2 linked regions of the Xenopus tropicalis genome follow. The protein of the gene in region 2 purifies or fractionates together with the protein of the main gene of each other region. This does not show direct contact. Links are inferred from orthologs where the notes say so. Each region holds a gene or a part of one and is shown on either strand. Other genes may lie near its edges.

Region 1 (6,513 bases), on a different chromosome or scaffold from region 2:
TAACTGCTTCAAACAATAAGTCATTGATTTGGTTTTGATGAAGGCCCAGTCTGGGTACCCACAAGTTTTCAGAGCTCCTTTTAGATGTTTATATTCTTTCTCCTTAGCCTCTGCATTGGATGCCACCGTTTCAGCCCGATGATGTAGAGTCCTAATTACACCCAGTTTGTGTTCCAAAGGGTGTTGGGAATCAAACAGCAAGTACTGGTCTGTGTGGGTGGGTTTCCTGTATACTTCAATATCCAGGTCCCTCCCCTCATTGATAACTATAGCACAGTCCAAAAAAGCCAGTTTGCTGTCTTTCACATCTTCCCTTGTGAACGTGATGTTTTTGTCCACCGAGTTTATGTGTTTGGTGAAGGCTGGAACCTCGTGTGCTTTAATTTTGACCCAGGTATCATCCACATATCTGAACCAATGACTTGGTGTTGTTCCCTTGAAGGTGTCCAGGGCTTTCTTTTCCACTTCTTCCATGTAAAGGTTCGCTACAATTGGAGACACAGGCGAACCCATGACACAGCCATGTTTTTGTCTATAGAAAACTTCCTTGTGCTTGAAGTAAGTGGTATTGAGACATAGGTCCAGTAAGGAACAAACTTGTTCTGGGGTCAGCTTTGTTCTGCTGCTGGGGGTGGTGTCTTGTTTCAGCCGTTTCCTCACTGTTTCAATTGCCTCAGTAGTGGGTATGCATGTGAACAGAGATGTTATACTTATACTGTAATGTCACCCACTGTGACCTATAGCGCTTATATTTGCCTATTTGTGTCTGTTAGTTACCCCTCCCATATAGATTGTAAGCTCTACGGGGCAGGGACCTCCTTCATCTTGTGTTTCTGACTCTTATTGCAACTGTACCTTGTATTTATTTGTATTTATTGTTGTACTTTGTATTTATCCATTATCTTTAACCCCCCTGTCTGTATTAATGAATTCTACTGTACAGCGCTGCGTACATAAGTAGCGCTTTATAAATAAAGATATACATACATACATACATACATGTTATGTCATAGGACACCATTGTATCATCGATCTCCAGCTTTAACTCCTTCACTTTTTTGACAAAGTCCATGGAGTTCTGAATGTGGTGTACTGTGTTTCCAACTAAGGGGGCTAAGATGTTGGCCACGTATTTAGCAATGTTATAAGTCACACAGTTAATGCTGCTGACAATTGGCCTCAAAGGGGCTCCTTCTTTGTGTATTTTTGGGAGTCAATATAGGCATGGAGTGGCTTCGCCTGGGTAAAGGCGACAGTACAAAGCTGGTACCATTGTGATTGGATCATACCTTCTTACACCTGTCAGTTTCAGCTAACACCTAACTGAACAAGTTCAATGGAACCATTGTGATTGGATGTCTGTGACTGTACTACCATCAAGAGTTTAAATACCGGGGAATTCCCTACCAGTCATTTGAACTGAAGAAGCCACTCGGATGAGTGGTGAAACGTTTTCAAGAAAAAAAACTCAGAAAAGTCCAGTTGTTTTAGACTTAATTCTACTAGATACTGTATATCATGACCTGGATGAATGAGAATCTTCATAGACATACTTTTAAGGTTCTACTTACAGTATTTTATTTTCTTTGCCCCAAACAGTAGGGTTCAAAGCTCAATTTGTTTTTACTTTTCACACTGCCTTCTAGTTGCCCTATGGGGCGGAGCTCTTTGTGTTCCCAGATTTGGCTGCACTGTATCCTTAGGGAGCAGGTGATAGGTGAATGAGGGCATCCCCTTCAAATCCCTGTATGTTCAACTTTCAGACATGCAAGCTAGGCAGTGCAATTGACAAAAGCATGCAAGAGAGCTTTACTTACTACCTGGCTATGGCTGGCGTATAAGTTAGGTTTCCCTTGTACCAGATACCAATGTGCTCTACACCTTGCACCAGATTTTTAGTCCAATGCAGAGGGCACAAGTGCTCCATTGATGGGTCCTAAGAGGCACCATTTAACTTATTTAGGAGAGCAGTAAGCAGAATTCTATGTAACTGTAAGTTTAGCATGAAATGTAATAACAGATATTGTTTAGTTGCCTCTCTTTTGTATTAACAATAATAAATGAGCTTTAGTGAATCCAGCCTTTTTCAGAAACACAGAACAAATGTCTTTTGTTGATTTAAACCATGTTGCCTTTCTGTTCTTCATTTATGGAACTCCTTCCAAGTCAACATTTGCCAAGGAGCATTTCTGTGCATGTGTAAAACCAAGCTCAAAGAACATCTCTTAAACGCAACATTACAATATGCAAACTTTATTGTAACAACAGTTCTGTCTAGCTCAGCCATGGACTGCACTTATTCCCCCTGAATGTCACAGTACCCAATTAAATGAGTGTTCAAAGATGGCACTGGCTTGTTTTCCTCGCCTTAATTCACTGCATACATTGTGGTTTTCATTTGTATCAATATGTCTTATTCTCAAGTGGTAACATTCCAGTGCACTGCTGGAAAAGACATTGATGTGGGCACTGAATGTCAAGAGAATTATTAAGACATGGAAATAATGGCATTTATTACTTAAGCCTTGTACATAAAGACAACACTTTCGGATATTTGCACTTAGTGCCACTGATTCTTTCCTACCCCTCTCGCAAATCATGCACAGTATACCTAATAATGCAGGGCAACTCTGGAGCTAGCTCCACCCTCATAGGGTTTACACAGCAGTCTGTATTAACCCAGCATGTCTGAACTGCAATTGTGTCAGGCACATTGTCACCTTGTACATGCATTTATGCTAGAAATGATGGGGAAAATGCTGCATTGTGGGAAAAAAAACATGGCAATGCACCCTAAATTATACTTTGCATACTGCAGTTGCTGTTGTAAATGATATGTGGAATATAACACCAGAAAGTCAAGGACCAATAAGGTTTCCATCATTATTTTACCAGAAACAGACAGGAAGCCTATAGACAGGACAGCCACTGCTATTACTCTTATTGAGTCAATCCATAGTAAGGTATGTATCTGCATATAGTTAGGCCACAAGAGTGATAGTCATTGATCACATCATCACATATGCTCTATACCAGGGGTTGGTGAGCAACTTGTTGGGGATCAATGTTCTATACTGTACATTGCATGCAACTTTAGCTCTTCCATAACTCTTCCATGTAGTACTGCTAAGAAGCTGAAGTCTATGATATTTTTGATATTTTGGCAACTTTTTTCTCAAATTACTTGATAAAGATACTTTGTGCATAATAAGGGAATGTGATGCGACCATAGTCTTTAGTTTTCATGGGGATGCAGTAATTAATCTAATTACCCGCTAGAAAAATGTAATGAGGAATATAGAAAGTGATCACATGTTGACCTATCTTTCTGTAAGGTCTATATTCATACTGTAGGTTATTTTCCCCAGAAAAAAATCAACCGAAGCCATTGAAAAACAGGCGCCTTATACTTGGCTTTATTTGCCTTGCCACCTGTTGCCGATTATCAAATAATCCTTAAGGCATATACATATAAAGTAAATTGCCCAGAATTTTTATTACAGCAGAACCACATCTACAAATTCACATAAACCATCAGTGAAGCTAGCATGGAACACAAAATGCTTGGATGTCCTTTTCATATGATGGTAACGTTCCAAACTGGGGGTAGCTTAATTATGTCAGGAATCTGCTCATATGATGCTCTGCTATCAATTAGAGCTTTGAATTCCATTATAAAAGCAGATTGTTTCTGCATTTTAGATCAATGTTGTTGTTTTTATGTCTTCATTGTCTTTTTGGAGACATTCATTTACTATAACAGTCCTGTTTGCTTGAGATCTTGTGGGGTGTTCTGGGTGTTTCCAGTTTAGTACATGATAAGTCACTGGACTTACAGCACATTACTGAATCCAGAAGCCCTTTTCTAATAAATACCTAATGTCATGTATACGATTGCCAAATTTCTGATATGTTCCCCATATTTTAAACTTGGAAAATTCACATGTGCACTTTTGTAGTGAAATATAACAGATGTTACATTCGTAAAACACATCCATATTTTATGGCAACAACTTTAGGATAAATTAAAGAAATAATAAAATATGAAAGACATTAGATATAAGAAATTCCAGAGCAGCACCACCCATTATTTATAAATCATACTGAACTCTTTGTAATTCAAAATGGTCTCTAAGCCAGAGTTAAGACATCTGTGGCACTCCAACTATTCTAAACTTCATATTAAAATATTTGTAACTGGACAAATATCCATGGAATTCTCCATGAGTTTAATAAACAATCTTGAAGCTTAAAGACGCCATCACTGAGGACTGGGCCCTGTATATAACAAAGAACACATTTTTGCTCTCCAGATATCTAATCTGCCATCAAGTTTGTGCTTGAAAATTAAGCCAAGGGACAGTAATAGGACAGAACTATGCTGAGGTTCTCCTTTTGCAACTGTGTGGCCAGTCACTGCCTGAGCATTATGGACTCATTTGCATGATGTCCAACAAGAATACCAACAGTAGTAACAATCATTCCTTGCCCAACATGCTCAAAAAAGACACCTGTGAATGAATGTTATTGTTAAAAATAGCATATTATTATAAATACACACCTTTGTTGTCCAGAGTTTAACTGTCCAGTCAAATGATGATGTAAGGAAAAGATGGGAAAAGTCTATAGGTCCCACTGCATTGTGGCAATTGATTCCAGTCACAGGCCCCTGATGACCTTCAAAGACTTCACTGATGCCGGCTTTGCTGCATAAAGAACACTGTATTTTAGGAACAACTGTCGTCTGTCTCTGTTGTACCTTCATGGTTAGGCTTTCTAATCAACCCATCTGGCCCTTTATTTCATTGACTTAAAACAATCCTATCAATCCAATAAGAATTATTTATCCTTTATTTACTTATTTTGACAACCCAATTGCTCATCACTGGTCCTTGCCTCACTCCTAACCTCCCTTTATATGGTGAACCTAGTGAAATCATTGATCATACAATAAAAACATTTGCCACTGAATCAAGTCCAGCAATATCCTTTGACTTGTAGACCTTATGATTTAAGCCATGACTTCACAGTAAAAAACTTTTTTGGAAGTTCTTCTTTTCACAAAGGTATAAGATTCTCCATATGAAAGAGGTTTTAAAGATATAGAGGTACAATAGTTGGGGTAAAACTACGGGGCAGATTTAGTGAAACTCCATAATTTCTCATTTGTCTTTTTTTCAAATTTCACGAAATTCATTTTTCTGGATGTTTGATATTTTCGCGAGGAAAAGTCGCTGTGAGAAAATTTTTCAAAATGTCGCTGCAAAAATCCTAATTTACGGACAAAACCCAGCAAAATCTCTAAAGTTTCCAAAGAATGAACTTCAAGTAAAGGGACCTCTGCCATTGACTTCTACATGAACTTGGCAACTTTAATCTGGCGAATTGTCAAATTTGGATTTTTAGCGATTTAGATGCATAGTAAATCTTGGAAAAAAGCATTTTTTCTCTTTTTCGAAAAAATTTGAATCGAGTTTAAAATGAAAAATCGATAGTTAGTAAATGAGCCCATAACCGTTAAAGAGAAAAGAAAAGAAAGATGTTGGCAGATCAATAGCTGGAATGCAAAGGGATAATTCCAAAAGCACAGGAACATACAGTATGGGTACTTTTTCTTCACAAAATTCTATTATGTGACAGAATCCTTATGCATATAGTGATGAGCAAATGTGTCATGTTTTGCTTCAGAGAAAAATTTGTGAAACTGCAGAACAATGTGTGAAAGCGTGAAAAATTCACAAAATGCGACTAACACACAAATTTTTTTTGACATGCTTGCAACTTCTTCTTCACTCTGCAAATTTTTGGAGAATTTTTGTGGCAGTTTCATGAAAAAATTTGCCAATGGCGAAATGTGGAATTTCACAGCAAATCCATGTCTGGCGAAAAAAAATTGTTCATCACTACCAAGGACTTTGTAAACAAAAAGCTGGCATTTAGGCATACCACTTTACCTCTTCTCATAGCATTACCTAAAGGGATTCTGTATACTGTTTTGCATTTAACACTTACACTGTAAAAGAACTGGCTATTGGCATTTTTAAAAAAAAGGGTATTTTTGCCACTTACCATAGCCGAGATGTCCTGAGTGTCAGTATAGAAAATGTATTACCTTCCGTGTCTGCAGGCTGTATAAACTGTGCCCTCCTCACTTCCAACAACAAAATTGTTCACATCCCCAGTTGGAAAAGCCATCCCAGTCACAGCTACAGGTTTGGACTTATTGTAGACAAGCTCCATGCTTTCCTGCAACACAACAACCGCTAATATGAATAACTGAAATTAAGAAAAAAACTGACTTTTATTAAATAAATCAAAATCACGCTTCTTGAGCTCTGAGTATGTGAGCACTGAGTATGTGAGCACAAAGGTATATGATCAAAGGTATAAAATGCCTTATCCATAGACCCATTATCCAGAAAGCTCTGAATTAGTGGATGCCATTTTAAGCTAATACAGTGATTTTAATTTATAAAAACAATTTCCTTTTTCTGTAATAATAAAACAGTGCCT
Region 2 (6,513 bases):
TAAGAATGCTGGGAGTTCCAGTCTGGAATCTACTGTCTCCCCTGAAACACCAAGATGGTGGGATGTAAAATCCCAGAGTCGCACTCCCTGAACCCTCGGCCCCACACACACCACTTCCTGTTCCTGTCATAGAGTCTCCCTACTGGGGGGCAGGCAGGGCTGCAGCACCCACTGAGGGGGGAGGAGGGAGAGGGAAGTCGGACGCGATGACTCAACTCCCTGAAATCTCTCACATGTTTTGTCTTTACTCCGTGACTTCATTCTCTCATCCTGCCCGGCTCCTTGTTTGTCCGACCCCCCATTTCCCCCTCTGGAACAGAGCCAGTGTCCCATCACCCCCATTCTAGTGCTGGGGTGCAGCCAAATCACATAACTTCACTACCACTCTTTCTTATGGTCAGGCTGGGTATGGGGGTCAGGCAGGGCAGGCTGGGTACGGGGGTCAGGCAGGGCAGGCTGGGTACGGGGGTCAGGCAGGGCAGGCTGGGTATGGGGGTCAGGCAGGGCAGGCTGGTTATGGGGGTCAGACAGGGCAGGCTGGGTATGGGGGTCAGACAGGGCAGGCTGGGTATGGGGGTCAGGCAGGGCAGGCTGGGTATGGGGGTCAGGCAGGGCAGGCTGGGGTATGGGGTCAGGCAGGGCAGGCTGGTTATGGGGGTCAGACAGGGCAGGCTGGGTACGGGGGTCAGACAGGGCAGGCTGGGTACGGGGGTCAGACAGGGCAGGCTGGGTACGGGGGTCAGGCAGGGCAGGCTGGGTACGGGGGTCAGGCAGGGCAGGCTGGGTACGGGGGTCAGACAGGGCAGGCTGGGTACGGGGGTCAGACAGGGCAGGCTGGGTACGGGGGTCAGACAGGGCAGGCTGGGTACGGGGGTCAGACAGGGCAGGCTGGGTATGGGGGGGGCAGGTGGCTGGGTACGGGGGTCAGGCAGGGCAGGCTGGGTATGGGGGGGGGCAGGTGGCTGGGTATGGGGGTCAGACAGGGCAGGCTGGTTACAGCGGGGCAATCTATTGCTGTGAAAGAAGCTGGCAGCAGGGAAGCTGGCACAGTAACACACATATATATATATGTGCTGGGAGTTTCTGGCTGGAGAGGCCACAGTTCCTACTTGGGCAGTTGGGGCCCCAGAAAGTCCCTTTTGCTACAAATAATCCATCTCTGTTCACAAGCAGCACATGCAGGCAGTTACCCTGTGAGCCCCCTCCCTACAACTCCCCGCAGCCCTTGGCATACCTTAGTGCATCAGTCACCAAACAGCCCCAGCCGGTGCAGCCGCCAGATTCGGCTCATTAGGATCCCAGCCGTGTCCCTCCTTTGTATCCCAAGTCACTTCACTGAGCCCCCCAATAAAGATGCCAATCGCCCTCAGGAATTCCCCCGGGGGCCCCATCCCATCAACCTGCAGGTCCAGTGGCAAAAAGTATGTGAAAAATTCACCAACAGAAGGGTGTCGGGGAGTCTCTCCCACTTATTATATTAATGGGAACTTAATATAAAACAAGGAGTAGTGTGAGCCCTTCCCTAGACTGTAACAGAACAGCACCCTCTGGTGGGGATTTCCTCACGCCCGCAGCACAATCCCTGCCCTGCTGTGCCAGGCAATCACTCACCAACCAGGATTCTCTCCGCCACACCTTTAGCCATTCATTTCAATTTAATGGTTTAATCCCACCAACCAATGAGAACTGTACCAAGTGGGCCCTGTTGCTACAACTACAACTCCCATCATCCTCAGGGAGAAACCCCAATAGGAGAGAATTAGTTACTGGGCTTAATTACATGTTCCATAGCGAGGTGCTTAAATCGTTTAACAGTTCGCTCGTTAAGGAAAGGGACTGATCGTTGGTAATTAACTCGCAGTCAGGACGTCGCTGCTCATCCGGCTAAAGGATTAGTGCCGCGCGGAAATATCCGATCCCCCCCCCCCCATGTCAGAGCCGAATAAACTCCCGGCCAGCTTAGCTTCTGCTGGGGGGCTTGGGGGGCTGTGCTTTGTATTATCCTAACTAACTCAGCACAGGAACGACCCCCAGCACCCTGCACAGGAACGACCCCTCGGAACCCAGCACAGGAACGACCCCTCGGAACCCAGCACAGGAACGACCCCTCGGAACCCAGCACAGGAACGACCCCTCGGAACCCAGCACAGGAACGACCCCTCGGAACCCAGCACAGGAACGACCCCTCGGAACCCAGCACAGGAACGACCCCTCGGAACCCAGCACAGGAACGACCCCTCGGAACCCAGCACAGGAACGACCCCTCGGAACCCAGCACAGGAACGACCCCTCGGAACCCAGCACAGGAACGACCCCTCGGAACCCAGCACAGGAACGACCCTCGGAACCCAGCACAGGAACGACCCTCGGAACCCAGCACAGGAACGACCCCTCGGAACCCAGCACAGGAACGACCCTCGGAACCCAGCACAGGAACGACCCCTCGGAACCCTGCACAGGAACGACCCCTCGGAACCCTGCACAGGAACGACCCTCGGAACCCTGCACAGGAACCACCCCTCGGAACCCTGCACAGGAACAACCCCTCGGAACCCAGCACAGGAACAACCCCTCGGAACCCAGCACAGGAACAACCCCTCGGAACCCAGCACAGGAACAACCCCTCGGAACCCAGCACAGGAACAACCCCTCGGAACCCAGCACAGGAACAACCCCTCGGAACCCAGCACAGGAACGACCCCTCGGAACCCTGCACAGGAACCACCCCTCGGAACCCTGCACAGGAACAACCCCTCGGAACCCAGCACAGGAACGACCCCCAGCACCCTGCACAGGAACAACCCCTCGGAACCCAGCACAGGAACAACCCCTCGGAACCCAGCACAGGAACAACCCCTCGGAACCCTGCACAGGAACAACCCCTCGGAACCCTGCACAGGAACAACCCCCAGCACCCTGCACAGGAACGACCCCCAGCACCCTGCACAGGAACGACCCCCAGCACCCTGCACAGGAACGACCCCCAGCACCCTGCACAGGAACAACCCCTCGGAACCCAGCACAGGAACGACCCCCAGCACCCTGCACAGGAACGACCCCCAGCACCCTGCACAGGAACGACCCCCAAGACCCTACACAGGAACAACCCCCAGCACCCACCACAGGAACAGCACCCACCACAGGAACAACCCCCATCATCACCCCCCCCCCCCTATTGGCTACAGATTTACACTGCCAGGATTTGGGGGGGGGGGGGGATATCAGAAATACTTTCTGCACAGAGAAAAACATATGTGTAATTATTTTAAAGGGGACATAAACCTAAACATCAATGTATTCCATATTCTCACTACTGAAAGCCCCGTCTGCCCCGTCTGCCTGTCCCTTCCTGTTTCCGTCACTGCTGCTTCTGACTCTTGAAACAATGTAGCTGGTCTGTTTATCTACTCCGTTTCCCACAATACCCTGCAAGCATCCGCCTTCACAATTCTGTTAATTATCCGGCTTCTGCTACATTGTATCAAGGTTCCCTAGTCACCCAATCAGCTATTGGGCCAGGGTTATGGTACTGGTAACTCCCTGACCCCTTCCCTCCATGTTTGGCTGGGACTGATACCAATAATAACCAATGGGGAGGGGGCGCCGGTCCTGCCCCCAGCGCATCGTCCCATTTGCATGAGTATCAGACGCCCGGCGCCGGCGCAGCCCTGACATTACGCTTCAATATGTGCAAATTAATGTAGAATGAATTAGCATAACAATCAGCTCCCGGCTAATTAGCACAATTATCAGGGAAACCTGCAACAAGAGCGGCTATTAGCTGCGCCGGGGGGCAAATGGGGGGGGCCACAGTCAGAAACTGGAGAATAAACTGTTTCATTATCTGAATACAAAGAGTAACGCGGGGGGGGGCGGGGGTCTGAGTCTTATACAGTCCCATCTGTGCCACTTTGTGCCATGAATATAGGGAGTCGGGCACCACTGTTATATTCCTCTGCCCCACACATATGTGTAATTATATTATATACGGGCACAGCCCCCCCACACCCACCCAGCTCATAGCATTGGGGTAACAGTCACCCCGCTATAGTTCCAGGGGTACCCAGGGCACAAATAAGCACTCACCCCAAATCCCCCCCTAACTGGCCTTCAGGCTGGGCCCCCTTAGCCCATAACAAGGTTACAGATATATAGAAACATTGGGGTAACAGTCACCCCGCTATAGAGCAAAGCCAACCCCAAAGTTTGGGAATTATTGATTATTGATTGGCCCCCCTTTAGCAGGGAAATGTGCCCCAAGAGATGCTCCTGAAGCCCCCCATTTGTTTTTCTGTGGATTCCCAGCACATGCTCTGTCCCTGGGAGGGGCTATTAATGCTGCAGCTCATTGGCTCAGGACATACTCCCAGCGCACTGTGGGTACAGACTATTAGGTGCCACCATCTTGCCCCATCTCTATAGGCCAAAGCTGACCAAGGGCTCATGAAGGGGGGGTGCCTGTAGCGCCTCTGTGTCCCCCAATATAACAGACCCCCCCCCACACACAATATAAGGTGGGTACCTACCTCTCTCAGTTCCTGTGCCACGGAGTTGAGCCGCTCATTCTCAGACAGGGTGTTGGCCACTACGTTCTTGGACAGTTTGAGCTCTGTTTGCAGCTCTAGAACCTTCTTCATGTAATACTCCTCCTTGGTGGCCGATTCCTGGATCAGGGTCTCCTCGCGGCTCTCGCCGTCGGCCGCTACTTTCTTGTGGTTGCTATGCGCTTGACCAAAGGCCTGTAGGGAGGGAGGCACATTGGCCAATTAGAAAAGCAATTGCCAAACCTTAACATCTCATACACGTAACTTGGCCCCTTACAGATGTTGCTGAACTATAACTCCCCCATAGCTAAGGAACAAACGATCTAAAGGGCCACACACTGGGCAAGTTTGGCTCCAAGACGCTAGTGGTTTCCCTGGCTGCCAGCAGCACGATGGGTACGGCTGTGCCAACTTGACTAAAGGGCGGCAAATAAGGGCAATGCCTGGGTAGGTGCCAGGGGGTGAGATTATTCATGTGGCTTTTCTGCCAACTTTCCAAGAATGTCTATGGCTCCCAGGAGTAATGTTATCTTTAAAGGGAAAGAAAAGCCAAGAAAAATATTGGGTTGGTCTCGTTACAGGCACAGGGCTGGCGTATGGCTCCCTAAGCGCAACAGCAAAACCATCACAGTCTGCCCTCTAACAGATACCGGTGCCCATCAGATGGCATTCAGATAAGGGGGGGCACGGTGCCCTTCACACTCAGCGGCACTCAGAGATGGGCCCCTGGGAAATCAAAGATGCATCGCGTTTCAGTGAGAAATGAATCTGTGCGCGTCCAACTGTGCGGCTTTGTCTAAATGCGGCTAACTGCTCAGCCGGGCATCGTGATTGGCTGCAACCGAAACTCAGCTCATGGTAAAGAACAGGACAGTATAATGTGCCAGATGCACCGCCGCCTTCAGGGGCCACATGCACCGCCGCCTTCAGGGGCCAGATGCACCGCCACCTCTAGGGGCCACATGCACTGCCGCCCTCAGGGGCCACATGCAACGCCGCCTTCAGGGGTCAGATGCACCTCTTCCTCTAGGGGCCAGATGCACCGCCGCCCTCAGGGGCCAGATGCACCTCTTCCTCTAGGGGCCAGATGCACCGCCGCCCTCAGGGGCCAGATGCACCTCTTCCTCTAGGGGCCAGATGCACCGCCGCCCTCAGGGGCCAGATGCACCTCTTCCTCTAGGGGCCAGATGCACCGCCGCCCTCAGGGGCCAGATGCACCTCTTCCTCTAGGGGCCAGATGCACCTCTTCCTCTAGGGGCCAGATGCACCGCCGCCCTCAGGGGCCAGATGCACCGCCGCCCTCAGCGGCCAGATGCACCGCCGCCTCTAGGGGCCACATGCACCGCCGCCTTCAGGGGCCACATGCACCGCCGCCTTCAGGGGCCACATGCACCGCCGCCTTCAGGGGCCCCATGCACCGCCGCCTTCAGGGGCCACATGCACCGCCGCCTTCAGGGGCCACATGCACCGCCGCCTTCAGGGGCCACATGCACAGCCGCCTTCAGGGGCCACATGCACCGCCGCCTTCAGGGGCCACATGCACCGCAATAAATGTGCAGGATAACCTTGTTATTTGTGTGAGGCCAGTGCTGCATATTAGGTGAGGGATGGTCCCTTCGGGCCCTATACCATGGGGGCCCAGTGGAACTAACTGTGCAGCCCTACCCTGTATCCACCACTAAATCATTTAGGGGGACCCTCTGGACAGGGCAGGAAGCCACCTGGCTCGGGGCAGCATTGGGGGCAGAACAAATGTACAGAAATGGGGGGCAGATATATATAGATATAGAACCGTTTCCTGTCCCTTCAGTTTGTCCAACCAGAACCCTGTGTGGGCGTCGGCTCCAGGGGATTATAGGAAGGGAAATGGAGCGAGGATGCCCATATGTACGCAGCCACTCATGGATGGACCAATCAGGAAGTGACAATTATCTCTATATTTACCCAGATCTCTGCATCTTCTCTGCCC

What was found. The genes of interacting proteins can lie anywhere in the genome.
Region 1: the proteins of bicd2 (region 2) and dync1i1 purify together in Homo sapiens (affinity purification with western blotting; 4 studies listed by BioGRID and IntAct, with this or other methods). This does not show direct contact. The link is inferred for Xenopus tropicalis from reciprocal best matches to the Homo sapiens genes BICD2 and DYNC1I1.

What each region holds. Positions count from the first base shown.
Region 1 is NC_030682.2:33,434,924-33,441,436, reverse strand, and holds part of dync1i1 (cytoplasmic dynein 1 intermediate chain 1), read right to left. Parts: intron 6,247-6,513; coding exon 6,113-6,246; intron 4,707-6,112; coding exon 4,562-4,706; intron 1-4,561. UniProt on the Homo sapiens protein: Acts as one of several non-catalytic accessory components of the cytoplasmic dynein 1 complex that are thought to be involved in linking dynein to cargos and to adapter proteins that regulate dynein function.
Region 2 is NC_030680.2:150,869,631-150,876,143, reverse strand, and holds part of bicd2 (protein bicaudal D homolog 2), read right to left. Parts: intron 4,740-6,513; coding exon 4,527-4,739; intron 1-4,526. UniProt on the Homo sapiens protein: Acts as an adapter protein linking the dynein motor complex to various cargos and converts dynein from a non-processive to a highly processive motor in the presence of dynactin.